Linked DNA regions of Callithrix jacchus. The main gene of each other region encodes a partner of the protein of the gene in region 2 in a complex. Links are inferred from orthologs where the notes say so. Each region holds a gene or a part of one and is shown on either strand. Other genes may lie near its edges.

What was found.
Region 1: the proteins of LMNA (region 2) and ZMPSTE24 are in contact, whole or in part, in a crystal structure (PDB 2YPT), measured with the Homo sapiens proteins. The link is inferred for Callithrix jacchus from reciprocal best matches to the Homo sapiens genes LMNA and ZMPSTE24. Residues at the interface, in NP_001393912.1 of Homo sapiens: Cys661, Ser662, Ile663, Met664; in NP_005848.2 of Homo sapiens: Ser264, Asn265, Ala266, Tyr267, Phe268, Val332, His335, His339, Glu415, Leu438, Asn439, Asn442, His459, Arg465.
Region 3: the proteins of LMNA (region 2) and BANF1 are in contact, whole or in part, in a crystal structure (PDB 6GHD), measured with the Homo sapiens proteins. The link is inferred for Callithrix jacchus from reciprocal best matches to the Homo sapiens genes LMNA and BANF1. Residues at the interface, in NP_001393912.1 of Homo sapiens: Ser431, Gln432, His433, Ala434, Arg435, Met540, Lys542; in NP_001137457.1 of Homo sapiens: Val11, Ala12, Glu13, Pro14, Glu83, Asp86, Ala87, Phe88.

Annotation. Positions count from the first base shown.
Region 1 is NC_133508.1:76,822,863-76,827,789, reverse strand, and holds the start of ZMPSTE24 (CAAX prenyl protease 1 homolog), read right to left. Parts: upstream 3,292-4,927; 5' UTR 3,061-3,291; coding exon 2,938-3,060; intron 297-2,937; coding exon 150-296; intron 1-149. UniProt on the Homo sapiens protein: Transmembrane metalloprotease whose catalytic activity is critical for processing lamin A/LMNA on the inner nuclear membrane and clearing clogged translocons on the endoplasmic reticulum.
Region 2 is NC_133519.1:16,524,617-16,528,962, reverse strand, and holds part of LMNA (lamin), read right to left. Parts: intron 3,535-4,346; coding exon 3,378-3,534; intron 1,179-3,377; coding exon 1,053-1,178; intron 791-1,052; coding exon 620-790; intron 410-619; coding exon 284-409; intron 1-283.
Region 3 is NC_133511.1:123,078,453-123,083,297, reverse strand, and holds BANF1 (barrier-to-autointegration factor), read right to left. Parts: upstream 3,070-4,845; 5' UTR 2,565-3,069; intron 2,372-2,564; exon of another isoform or gene 2,244-2,371; intron 1,901-2,243; 5' UTR 1,885-1,900; coding exon 1,762-1,884; intron 1,510-1,761; coding exon 1,363-1,509; 3' UTR 992-1,362; downstream 1-991. Other genes in the region: putative RNA-binding protein EIF1AD, read left to right, coding at 3,940-4,026, 4,164-4,272, 4,669-4,777. UniProt on the Homo sapiens protein: Non-specific DNA-binding protein that plays key roles in mitotic nuclear reassembly, chromatin organization, DNA damage response, gene expression and intrinsic immunity against foreign DNA.

The DNA.
Region 1 (4,927 bases), on a different chromosome or scaffold from region 2:
TTACTATCAATAACAAAGGTTAAGAAAACATTCTAGGACTTGCAAGTGTGGTGCCCTCTTTTGTGCTACAAAAACGTGAAAATGAAAGCAACCATTACAAAGTATTAAACAATTTGACAGACTGTCTCTCCAAAAAGTAAGTTACTCACAGTGCCTTCAATCTCTGAATAGAGTCCTGACCAGAAGCTGAAAGTGCTTTTATCCAGTTGATACAGTCGAGATTTCTCAAATGTTTCAGAATCCATGATCTGTCCTAACTCTGGTGGTACTTGAGTTGTTGTTTTATATATCCTTCTCTGAAATATTTTGAAGAAAACACTTTAGTGAAACGGTTGATTGTTTATTACAATAGTCATTTATGATCAAACACTGTATGGTTTATAGCTTGTCACTTATTCTTGTTGAATATGCTTTATACGTACACAAATATCACACTTTATCAAGTACATTGACCACTGAAATGACTGATACAGAAAAATAAAAGCAGAACAAGAGAACCTGAGGTTAGCTGACTAGTAAAACTAAAATCAGGGTTATCATCACACTTCAGTTTGTATATGTAAACCAAAGTTGTAACATCACAACTTTGTAACATGTACTACTCATTCTGGGTATTACATACCTCCTCTATTACATAATGGAGAAAACAAATTCATGGAAAGGAGAAGCACACATGCTAACCATGACTATGAACAAATATTGAGGCTGCTCATTAAATTTGGTCCTAAAAGCCAGAAACTTGAGGAGCACCACATAGAAACATATCAGGTATGTGAGAAAAGACCAACTTTTAGCCAGGTGCATTGGGTCACGCCTGTAATCCCAGCACTTTGTGAGCCCAGGAATTTGAGATCGGCCTGAGTAGTGTGGTAAAACACTGTCTCTACAAAAAATACAAAAATTAGCAGTGTGGTGGTGTGCACCTGTGGTCCCAGCTACTTGGGAGGCGGAGGTGAGAGGATCACCTGAACCTAGGAGGCAGAGGTTGCAGTGGGCCCAGATCGTGCCACAGCACTATACCCTGGATGACACTCTGTCTCTTAAAAAAAAAAAAGAAGAAAGACCAACTTTCACATTATACTAAATTCTAAAAGGTAAGGGTAATTGCAGCCCAGGAAATATAATACAGGGAATGAATACCAAACAAAATAACGGGCCACTACAATATGCTTTCCTTATATATTGTTTTGTGCCAATAAAAGCTGAGAACAGGTTGAGAACGGTGGCTCACGCCTGTAATCCCAGCACTTTGGGAGGTTGAGATAGGAGGATCGCTTGAGCCCAGGAACTCCAGACTAGTGCCGGCAACATCTCTACAAAAAAATCCAAAAATTAGCTGGGGACTGTGGCCCACGCCTGTGGTTCTAGCTACTCAGAAGGCTTAGGTGGGCTGGGTGCGGTGGCTCACACCTGTAATCTCAGCACTTTGGGAGGCCAAGGCAGGTGGATCACCTGAGGTCAGAAGTTCAAGACCAGCCTGGCCAACATGGTGAAACCCTGTCTCTACTAAAAACAGAAAAATTAGCCGGGTGTGGTGGCATACACCTGTAATCCCAGCTATTCAGGAGGCTGAGAATCACTTGAACCCAGGAGGTGGAAGTTGCAGTGAGCCGAGATCACACCCCCGCACAACAGCCTGGGCGACAGAGTAAGACTCCGTTTCAAAAAAAAAAAGGTTGAGGTGGAAAGGCTGCATGAGCCCGCAAGTTCAAGGCTGCTGTAAGCTATGATGGTGCTACTGTGCTCTAGCCTGGCTGGCAGAGTGAGCCCCTGTCTCTAAATAAAATAAAGATTCCATCTGGGCTAACATGGTGAAACCCCATCTCTACTAAAAATACAAAAATTAGCTGGGCGTAGTGGCACGTGCCTGTAATCCCAGCTACTAGGGATGCTGAACCAGGAAAATCACTTGAACCTGAGAGGCGGAGGTTACAGTGAGTCGATATTGCGCCACTGCACTTCAGCCTGGTGACAGACCGAGACTCTGTCTTAAATAAATAAAGATTAAAAATAAATAAATAAAAGTTCAGGTATCTAATCCATGGTTATCTCCAGTAAATTAAGTAACTTTCACTTTCTATTTTACCGTTTTAATATTTTAAACAAAAAAATGAAGATAATTTTATTAAAAATTATATATATATATATATATACTCATCTTTTCTTTTCCTTTTTTTTTTTTTGTGTGTGTAGATGGAGTTTCGCTCTTGTCACCCAGGCTGGAGTGCAGTGGTGCAATCTTGGCTCAAGAGATTCTCCTGCCTCAGCCTCCCAAATAGCTAGGACTACAGGCGTGCGCCACCACCCTGACTAATTTTTCTATTTTTAGTAGAGATAAAGTTTCACCATGTTGGCCAGGCTGGTCTCCAACTCCTGACCTCAGGTGATCCGCCCGCCTCGGCCTCTGAAAGTGCTGGGATTACAGGCATGGGCCACCCAAGCCTCCTGGCCTGGCCCGATAAATATATATATATATATATTTTTTTCAACAGAAACAATATATGCACTTTAAGGAGAAACAACAGTGCAGGTTGTTGGAAGGATTGCAAAATCCTGCGGTTAGGCATGATTACATAAATGTCATGAGGAAGTTGGGTTTCTAAATTCTTTTGAAGGCTTATTCCAAAGATAAAGGAGGCCAAGTCTGGGCCCAAGGATCTCAAGGAAGATGTAGGGCGGGCACAAGAGCCCAAGCATTCCTCCAGGGCCTAACGGGATCGACTCCCATGATAACGTTACTGAAAACTTCCTGGACGCACCAAGAGCCCCCTCAAAGCCATAGCCCGCCATCAGGCCAAGTTACGAGACTGAGCAAGGACCACAGGGTCGAGACTGGCGCGGAAACTGGAACAATCATCAAGAGACTCAGGGTCGAAGCCAAGGTTGGCCTAGGGGTGGCCGGGTGTGGGGGTCAGGTGGGACCTTGTCTAGGCTCACCTGCCGCTGTGCTAGGAAGGTCTCCCAAACATACACTGTCCAGGAGAAGAGCAGCACGGCTCCGAAGATACGCTTCTCGGCTGGCATCTCCCACAAAGCGTCCAGCGATGCCCACATCCCCATGGCCACCCCGTTCCGCCGGCTCCTTCAGCGTGCACCGGTGCCACACCGACACTCGTCCCCTCAGAGCGTCCTCGCGGTGTTACAGCGATATCCGTTCTTTCCGAAGGCCCCTACACCGACACCCGCCCCCATCCCTCCCTCTCCGCGCTGCTAGCAGTGTCACAGATACACTCTTCCCCTTGCAGACTCTCCCTACTCCCTCCTAGTTTCTACTGGAAAAGCCCCAGCCCCACCTTCCTCACTTCCGGCTCAAAGAGGGCGGGGAGCCAGAGACTGACTTCCGGGTCCTGCTGAGCTGTGTTGCATCAACATTCGTCCCCAACGACGTGACGCTGGGTTCCGGCCTGGGGTTCTCGCTTTCCTCCAGGGCCGGTGAATGCGGTGAAGTCCTCCGCTTTCTCTACAGAGCCGCAGTTCCATCCCCTGGGTCGGCTGTTTACCCTGACTGGGCTGCGGTATCTGCCCTACTTCCCCCAACAAGGCGACATTTAGTCCGGGCTGGGGCCGGAACTCAGTGGGCCGCCGCTTCTGCCTGAGGTGGCTGGGACGGACCGGACAGCAGCCGGCTTCCCAGTCTCAAAGAATCAAGCCTCTGAACTAGAGCTACCTCAAAAGGGAGACTAGCCATTAGAAATGGAGTCTTTTGGCCAGTATTGGGGTGTTCTGAATTCAAGCGTATGAGAGAGTGGACGGTAGAGTTGAAAATTCTCATTTGAAGATCTCGTCTCAACCACCCCAAGTGTAGTCAAAGGCGGCGTTTTGCCTGCTAGAATGCCTGGAAACAGAGCAAGGACACCGTAGGTTAGACATACCTGAAATGAAAGTTTCTTACTTTGTCTAGGGTACAAATTTGCATCAGTAAGGCGCAGTGCCATTTCTCGCTTGGAATCAGAAGTGAAATATGGTCACTCGGACGCGCGTACATTTATTTGACTTAAAAAGTGAGGTCAGTTATTCTGACCGAAAGTAAATCTGATAATTAATTGGTTAAACATACTATCCTTGCTAATTAGCATAACTATTACTTACAATAAAGTGAGCTAAATCTGTAGCTACGACTAAAATATATTTAAGTTACTGTGATATTGTGATGCTAAAGATGTGTTGAAATTAATATCTTGAATTTCTCAACCTTGCCTAAATGCCTCTGAGAGTAATTAATATAATTAAAAGTCACTAGAGAAAGTGAATGATTCTAATAACAGGTTAACAAATTCTTTTCAAGTCAAATGATCTCCAGTTATTTGTTTTCAACAAAATTAATGGTAGCTCTATTGAATTGTCAGCCAAGGAAGGAACACTATTTGGTTTTTGGCATGCAACTCAGAAACCAAAGAATTGGTTGACATTCTTACAGCAAAACTACTAGCATTCCCACCTATTTGTTTATGTAAATTCATTTCTCAGCACTTGTATCTATGAAAAAACAATTAAAACTAAACCCTGTTAATCTAGCAGTAGGAACTGTTCATCCAGATAAATGAATTAATTGGTGGGACAGTCCCATCTGTCTCACTGAGATGTGTTCCCAATAGAATTTCACCTTTTATAATTGTATATTATCAATATTTGTAATTGTGTCATTTTGATCCACTATTTGCTAAAGATTATTGTGATGATTACTGACTTCAGAAGAATTACAGCATAGAGCCATAAAGTTACAGGAAATTTTTTAAAAGTTTAATACACACATTATATTTTTATTGCAAAAAGTGATCAATAAAAGGTTTTTTAAACATCAAAGTATTACATTTGAATAACATTTTGTGGTAAAGTACAACCTAAATATGTTAGAGATAATAAAATAACAATGTTGAAGAGCTCCTTAGGGTATGCTTTAATGGATAATGGTGGTTATTTAGTTGTT
Region 2 (4,346 bases):
TCACATTGCAGAGTCTTATGGCAACTCTGAGTCAGGGAGATTAAGAACAGCTTCCATTTCCGAGTGGGAAAATCGAAGCCTTGAGAAGTGAAGGCAAGGTAAGAGTGCAGAAGCAGCACACAGGCCGCCTGATGCCGCATCTTGCGACCCTTCTCTGTGGTCCTGGGGACATGTTTGTCCCTGTCCTCCTCAGGAACACCCCCCACAACCCGGCCCTGAGCTTCCAGCCTGCATCCTGCCCAGACTCCAGGCCCCTGGAGGGAGGGGTGAGGTGGGGTATCACCTGCTTCTGGAGCTGGCTGAGCTGGGCAGACAGGCTGTCGATGCGGATGCGTGACTGCTGCAGCTCCTCGTGGGCGGCCCCCACCAGATTGCTGTTCCTCTCAGCAGACTGCCGGGCATTGTCCAGCTGGAGGGAAGGACACAAGGGTAGGACGGTGATGACCAGGAGGGTGGAGGGATAGGCCTGAGCTGGGCATCACTGCCACAGCCTTGGGTCCTGGGCCGCCCTGAGCTCCCTGCCACCATCTGCCTGATCTCCCCGGCGGAACAGCCCAGCGTGGGCAAGGGTAGGCTGCTGCGGGCAGAGGCAGTGAGGGAACCAGGGGAGAGCAAGCACCTTGGCGGAATAAGTCTTCTCCAGCTCCTTCTTGTACTGCTCCACCTGGTCCTCATGCTGGGCCCTCAGTTCCTGCAGGGCATCCGCCAGCCGGCTCTCAAACTCACGCTGCTTCCCGTTGTCGATCTCCACCAGCCGGGTCTCATGGCGGCGCTTGGTCTCACGCAGCTCCTGGAAGGGTGGGAGCAAGGACCCAGAAACCAAGATTAGTTCCTGGGAGACCAAGACCCAGGGGCCGGGCTCCCTGCCCCGCTGTACCCCATGAGGCACTGCCAGCCCCACTTTAACCTCGGAGCTGGGTCTTGGCTATGCCCAACTCCCTGTATTCTAGGGCAAGGGACTCAGGAAGGTGAGCTCTGCACGCAGCTGGTCCCCCCAGCCCGAGTCTGTCATCACCCAGCCCCATCTCTGGCCTGCAAAGCACAGTCCCCACCTCGCTGTAGATGTTCTTCTGGAAGTCCAGTTCCTCCTTCAGGGTCTGCAGCCTGTTCTCAGCATCCACCCGCCGCAGCATCTCATCCTGAAGTTGCTTCTTGGCCTCACCCAGGGCTGCCTCAAGCTGTGAGGAGGCATGCAGAGGTCACGTAAAGGGGTCACAGAACACAAGGACTGGAAGGAAGCTGAGAGGTGGGCTGCTGCCCATGCACCCCTTTATACATGTGGAAACAGGTCCAGGGAAGGAGGGTCTTGGATGGCTGCAGAGGTCAGAGCATTCACTCACACCCTCTCGGGAGGTACTGTGCTAAGAAAAGCTATGTCCAATACAAAAAAGTAGCCGGGCATGGTGGCTCATGCCTATAATCCCAGCACTTTGGGAGGCTGAGGCAGGAGGATCTCTTGAGGCCAGGAGTTCAAGACCAGCCTGGACAACATAGAGAGAACGTGTCTATGTTCTAAGAAAAAGACGGCAAGGAAGCACCGGCTGACCAGGAAGGGCTGGGGGAAGGGCAGAGCTGGGAGGCAGGAGGTCAGACCCAGGAGAAAGGTGGTCTGGTGGTCAACCTGCTGGCTTCTCCAGGTCTTTCCCTGTTATACTGTGGTGGCAGGGCCTGGGAAGGGCGAGCACCCGGGATGGAAGCTTGGCCACTGACTCTAATCCTGGCCCTGCTGTGAACAGATGAGACTGTGAAATTAGGAACAAACTGCTTCTGATTCCTTTTTTTTTTTTTTTTTTTTTTTTTTTTGAGATGGAGTTTCACTCTTGTTACCCAGGCTGGAGTGCAATGGTGCAATCTCGGCTCACCGCAACCTCCGCCTTGTGGGTTCAGGCAATTCTCCTGCCTCAGCCTCCTGAGTAGTTGGGATTACAGGCACACGCCACCATGCCCAGCTAATTTTTTGTATTTTTAGTAGAGACGGGGTTTCACCATGTTGACCAGAATGGTCTCGATCTCTTGACCTCGTGATCCACCCGCCTCAGCCTCACAAAGTGCTGGGATTACAGGCGTGAGCCACCACGCCCGGCCTCCTTTTTTTTTTTTTTTAATTTAATTTTTTTTTTTTTTTTAAAGATGAGGTTTCAACATGATGGCCAGGCTGGTCTTGAACTCCTGACTGCAGGTGATCCACCCACCTGGGCCTCCTAAAGTGCTAGGATTACAGGCACAAGCCATGGCGCCCGGCGCTTCTGATTCCTAGCTTTTATTTATTATTTTATTTTTTTGAGACAGAGTCTCACTCTGTCACCTGGGCTGGAGTACAGTGACCCGATCTTGGCTCACTGCAACATCTACCTCCCAGGTTCAAGCGATTCTCCTGCCTCAGGCTCCCAAGTAGCTGGGATTATAGGTGCCTGCCGCCACACCCAGCTAATTTTTGTAATTTTAGTAGAGATGGGGTTTCGCCAGGCTGGTCTTGAACTCCTAACCCCAGGTGATCCACCTGCCTTTGCTTCCCAAAGTGCTGGGATTACAGGCATAAGTCACTGTGCCCAGCTATTCTTTTTTTTTTTTTTTTTTTGAGATGGAGTTTCATTCTTGTTGCCCAGGCTGGAGTGCAATGACACAATCTCAGCTCACTGCAACCTCTGATTCTGGGTTCAAATGATTTTCCTGCCTCAGCTTCCCAAGTAGCTGGGACTGTAGGTGTGCACCACCATGCCCAGCCAATTTCTTTAAATTTTTCTTTTCTAGAGATGGAGTCTTACTGTGTTGCCCAGACTGGTCTCAAACTCCTGGGCTCAAGCAATCCTGCCTCCTTGGCCTCCCAAAGTGCTGGGATTACAGGCATGAGCCACCACACCTGGCCTCAATTATTTTAAATTCACTCTGCTAGATCCCATGGGTGGCCAAATTAGGATAAGATGTGGCCAGGCCGGGAGCGGTGGCTCACAGCTTTAATCCCAACACTTTAGGAGGCTGAGGCAGTCAGACCACAAGGTCAAGAGATTAACACTACCCTGACCAACAGGGTGAAACCCCATTTCTACTAAAAATATAATATTAGCTGGGCATGGTGGCATGTGCCTGTAATCCCAGCTACTCAGGAGGCTGAGGCAAGAGAATTGCTTGAACCCGGGAGGCGGAGGTTTCAGTGAGTCAAGATGGCACCATTGCACTCCAGCCTGGTGACCAGGCAAGACTCCGTCTCAAAAAGAAAAAAATGTGGCCTCAGTGGGTGAAATGACTCTAGGACCAGTGAATGGCTCTGAAATCAGGTGACAGGTCAGACAGGCACCTCCTGAGGGAGGCCCTAGGTAGAAGAGTGAGTGTACATGTGTTAGGTGGGGCCATGGCCGGGCCCTGCAGGGTGGCCTCACCTTGGCCACCTGGCCCCGCAGATCATGCAGCTCGCCCTCCAGTGTGCGCTTCTCACTGAGAGCAGTGCTCAGTGCGGCCTCCTTGGAGTTGAGCAGAGCCTCCAGGTCCTTCAGCCGGGCCTGAGCAGCTAGCAGATCACCCTCCTTCTTGGTATTGCTAAAGAAGAGAGGGGAGAGTGGGTTTAAGAAAAGGAGTCTGCATACCTAGACAGTACCAGGCTCCCTAGAGGTCAGCCATGGGGGCTGGTGCTGCTGTTCCCGCAACTACCAGGAGAGGGCATCCTTGCATTAGGTTGGTTTCCATCTGCTTGCCTCTGGGGCTGGGCTCCCACCTCCCCAAGGTCCCTGAAAACCCCATTCCTGCTTCTCCACCCTGCCCATGACTCAGGGTTCAGGAACGTGCCTGGGGCCAACGGCAGAGCTCTACCCCATGATATGAATGCTTTCCCCTCTTTCTCCTCCCATTCTTTCCCAAAGAGACAGGGGTACCTTTGTCTCCTGCCCTTCCCACACAGGGCCTTAGCCTTCTCCCTGGACTCCACCCACTTCCCTTTGGCCAAGCTTCCCTCCCTCCGAGGAGCCTGACAACTAAGCTCATGGCCATGAGCCCCACAGTCCCTAACGCTTTTTGGTCTGAGCTCCAAAGGTGCTTGCTCGTCGCCTCTCCTAGTCCCTTTTACACGTGTGGAACTGTGGGAAGGAAAGTCTAGTCAGAGCTCAGAGGGACCTTGGACAAGGACAGCCACAGACAGTATTGATCTTTTCCCTTCTCAGGACCCAGTCTGGGTGCCCTGGTCTGCATTGAACAGAGGGGTCCCTGCCTCCCTCCCTCCTGCCTCATCTGCACCCAGGGAGAAGGCTGAGTCCTACCACAACTTTAGCATCTGGCTCCAGATGTGGCTCCCAGGCCTCCAGGTCCATCTGGGCCCCAGCTTTAAGGCTCTCTGCTCCACAAAGTGGGTAAGGCTT
Region 3 (4,845 bases), on a different chromosome or scaffold from region 2:
ACCCGGCCAGTCCACCTTTTTCTTGACTACAGTTCTGTATGTGCTTTGGAAATAGTCCTTTGTTGTTTATACTGCTGCAAATATCCTTTCCCTACAAGCACCTCATTTTCCAAGTGGGAAAACTGAGGCTCAGAGAGGATAAGCCATATGACCAAGGAACACATGGCCAGGTCCATGGGTTTCCAAGCTAGTTTGAGTTCCAGACTATCTACTTCCCAACAGCAAGTCCATGGGCAAATTAGCCTCTCTGAGTCTCAATTTCCTCACCTGTAAAAGAGAATATAATGATTTATTATTGTAAAAAAAAAAAAATATTTGCAAAGATTTTAACTTCAAGTCTGGTTCATATTAAGTGCTCAAGAAATAATAGGGCTGGCCAGGTAGAGTGGCTCACATCTAGTCAGAGCTTTGGGAGGCTTAAGGATTGCTTAAGGCCAGCCTAGGCAATACAACACGGTCCTGTCTCGATTAATCTAAAAAGTAAACAAATAGAAAGGGCTAAAATGCACTGAGGTGTACTTCCTTCTCATGCTTCCAGCTGTAATGCCTGTGCTCTTTCTCCTCCCTAAGAGATCAGGGAAGATGGCAAGCCCCCTACCTACCCTTGCCAGAGGCCGGGAAAGCAGATATGATGACTGGTAGGTGAACTCGCACCCGCATCCGGTCCACCCTCTGTCAAGTACCTCTGACTCCCACTGACTTTTCCACCAGGTGCTGCCTAGCCCAGCTGTTGACTTAACTGACATGTGGAGCACAGTCCATCTGGCTCCCAGGAAAAGATCCACCCACACTCTCTCCCACATCACTTGGGGATTGAGACACTCCAAGTCACCTGCCTGAGATCTACATGGCTAGGGTGGCTGCCCTCTGGGAGTGGAAGGGAAGCTGCCGGTTTCGGTCTGTACTGATAAGGAGAGGGGGAGACGTGGTCAGTCCCTGGAGGAGAGGCAACTCCCAGCCCACTTGCTTTTCAATGCACAAAGCCCAGTCATGAAAGCCACTGACTTTATTGATCTAAAAAACTTTACAACGACAGTGACTGTTCTGCCAAAAAAGGAGCCAAATGGTATCAAACGGACTGAAAGTGAGGGTGGGGGTGAGGGATAGGGCCAGGAATCCATTCAGGAAAGCCAGTAACTGTCATCAGGGAACTGGCAAGGGAAAAAGGAAGAGGGAGGCATGCAAGAGCGAGAATCCAAAAAAGTTGAAATGGTTAGGGGAGGAAACTCCCAAAGACCCTGGAGTACATCGGAGGTGAGTACGACAATAGCAATCTTTTCCTCTGTAGCGGACAGGGGAGGAGTCCCTAATCGGCTGCAAACTCTGGATGAGGGCTGGGGATTGAGAGCTTCCCAGAGAGTATCACAAGAAGGCATCACACCACTCTCGAAGGCATCCAAAGCAGTCCCGGGACTGCTTGGCATTGGCACCACAAGTGTCCTTCAGCCATTCCCGGAAGAGGTCTTCATCTTTCTTTAGCACCAAAAACTGGCCAAGGACAACATAGGCCTGAGAGACAGAGAAAAGGAAGGGGCATACTGCTCAGTGTTCAGTGAGGGATAAGAGTAAATCGGTCATTCCCGTGCCATTCAGAGCACACAAGCCCAGGAAGCAGGGCGGGTTTTGCCCCCATCTCCTCTCTACCAGGTGCCCAGGCTCTGGCAGTCTCTTCAGATTATGCCCCACCGCCCACCCCACAGCAGATGGACTCACTTCCCTCCCACTCCCAGCCTGTGCCAGGTACACGCTGCCACCCCACACCTTGTCAAAGCCCCTTTCCTCCAGCTTCTTGCCCAGGACTTCACCAATCCCGGCCAGGCTCCCCACTGGCTTTTCCCCCATGGGCTCTGCCACGAAGTCTCGGTGCTTTTGGGAGGTTGTCATCTTGATCAGGCTTAATCTAGAAATCCCAAAAAAAGACACGTTAGGGTTGAAGACCTGGAACTCCTAAGGGCCCACTAGCAATCTCATAGTAAGAGGAAGCTAAGCCAGGCATTATGGTGGCTTGCTCGATATCCCTCATCAAAAAAGGAGAAAACTGAGGTCCAGGGAGCCTTCCCTACTATTCTGAAGAGAAGTTTCTTCCTGCAGGACCTGGATTTTGATCTTGCCCAGAGGAAAAACGATCCTGCCTAACAGGTGGCGCAAACGGGTAAGTGGAAAGATTCCCAGAGTCAGTAGCCAGGGCCGCCCAGAAGCTGTCACTCCTTCTGTGACCTTGGCTGAGCCAAGAAGGCACTGACCCTGTCTGGACCGGTCACTTGGCATGGAAAGTTAACCAAAGGGTCTCTCTACCCACAGAGCGAAGCGCAAATCGAGCGCTCCGCACACTCGCCTCCAGCCCGCGGGGTTCAAGCCGCGCCCCAGCTCCGCCCCCATCGCGCGGCGCCGCGGCCCGCCCCCTCCCGCGGGCCGGCTCCCACGCGCCGCGCCCCGCCCCCTCCCCGCAGCGCGGCTAAGCTCTCCCCAAGGGCCCACCCCAGCGCCTGCGGCCCCTCTCATCCCATTCTCCTCGCAACCCATCTGGCCTCTAGCCAGGGCCCTGCTCTGCAGCTGACGCTCACCGGCAGCTTCAGTTCCCGTAACGGTTCCTCCCGCCACCCGGCCGCTCCCGCCGATACCTCAAGCCACTAGAACTTTCTTCCACTTCCGCTTCCGGGTCGCCTCAAGAGCGTCCTTTAAAAAAAAAAAAAAAAAAAAACCCTCCACGTTGGGCACTTCTAGCCAGTTAGGGCTATAGAGTTGAGGCGTCCCGGACCTCGACGGCCTCTGTAGTAGGTCCTCCTTTCCGGTCCTTCGCGGGAAGTCCTGCTGCCTTGTAAGGTCCCGCTACTCGAGGAAGAAAGGCCTCCAGAGAAAGGATTTTCTTTCTCTGCTGCCCGGACCCGGAACTCAAGGACTTAGGCTTGACCGACTGGCGTGGGGAAGAGTTGGAAGAACGGACAAGGGAGGGGACGGGTGGCCGGGAGGCTTCCGAGACAGCGCCGGAAGTACAGTTTTTCGAAGAGATCCGACTCAAACTCACGTCACCCTCCTAGCAGTGGGACTGGAGGGAACTGAAAACATTGGAGACCTGGATTTAAGCTCACGCTACCGTCGCGGCCGTCAGCAAGTTCCTTTACTGTGTTTTCTTGGCTCAGCCTTCAAGTGAGTCGCGGACAATTCTCTCAGCGTCCGGCCTGGACAGCGGGGTTGCTCAGGCAGCGTTCCTGGGAGCCGAGGGCCACAGACTTAAGTGTGGGTCTTTTTCCGAGGGTCTTTTCTCCGGGATAGACGGGGAGGAGGAAGGAGGACGGCAACTAGATATGACATATCGATGTTTCCTTCGGAAACCGTCAGTCTGGCCCTCGTCTTCTAAGTAAGAAAGTCAAACATGCAAATGTCGCAGGCAAGCCTGCTCACCTCCACCTTTCGTTAACTAGTTCCTGGCTTGGACCGTCGCGGTGGCCACCTAATTTGTCTCCGGCTGTAGTGTGTTGCCAGACTGAACTTCTCTGTTGTGTGATTGTGCTAGACTTGGGGTGTACAAACGTGTTGAGAAAGATATGGTTTATCTCAGACTCCTTCCAGAGAGGTTGCCAGGGTGATTTCTCTGGAGCATGTGTATAGTTTTATGTTATACCAGTAGTTATGATTGCAGGAGTTACTTTTATATAACATGCACTGTGTTGTCCCATTCTGTAACAATGCTGAGTTAGCTGTTATTTTTTCTGGGACCTAGAGAAGTTGAATAGTTAGGAAATGAACCAAGGTAGAATTTGAATCCAGGCAGTTAAGACTTCAGAGCCCATATTCTTAACCAAGACACTGTGTCACTCCTCAGTAAAAAGCTCCACCCCATCTTCAGAATAGTCCTGGGTTCTGAGCCTGCCGTCCAAGGAACTCAGGAGGAGGAATTGACAGTCTCTGCATCTCTAAGTACCCTGGGACAACTTAAGCATGTCTCAGGCCACCAAGAGGAAGCATGTGGTGAAGGAGGTGCTGGGGGAGCACATGGTGCCCTCTGACCGGCAGCAGATTGTTCGGGTGAGTGGCTTTGGGCACAAGCTGCTCTGCTCCCCCCCAACCGCTGTAGGGCCCCTGGGGCAGGGGTAGGGTGCAGTGTGTCTGAGAGGGTGTTTGATCTGACTGATGAGGCTGATTCCTGGTCTCTCCTGAACCAGGTACTCAGGACTCCAGGGAACAATCTGCATGAGGTGGAGACAGCCCAAGGGCAGCGTTTCCTTGTGAGCATGCCCTCCAAATACCGCAAGAACATCTGGATCAAGAGAGGTAAGAGGATCACTCCTGTAATCCAAGCACTTTAAGAGGCTGAGGTGGGAGGATCGCTTGAGCTCAGGAGTTTGAGATCAGCCTGGGCAGCATAATGAGACCTTGTCTCTACAAAAAATTAAAAATTAGTTGGGCACGTGTCTGTGATCCCAGCTACCCAGGAGGCTGAGGCCTGAGAATCATTTGAGCCTGGGAGGTGGAGGCTGCAGTCAGCTATGATCATGCTATTGCATTCCAGCCTGGGCAAAAGAGCAAAACCCTGTCTCAAAAAAAAAAGAAAAAAAAAAAAAGAGAGGTGAGAGGCAGCCCTCTCTAGGCGATAGAACCATTTCCTATAGCTTTGGCTTTCCTTATTGCAAGCAGGCCTGACTTTCCCTTTTCTCTTCTTACCTACAGGGGACTTTCTCATTGTTGACCCCATTGAAGAGGGAGAGAAGGTGAAGGCTGAGATCTCCTTTGTGCTCTGCAAGGACCACATGCGCTCACTGCAGAAGCAGGGGCTTTGGTAGGGTGGACCCCTTGATCATTGGTTCTCTGACTTCTGGAGGCACTGCCTTTCTAGCTTGGGAATTT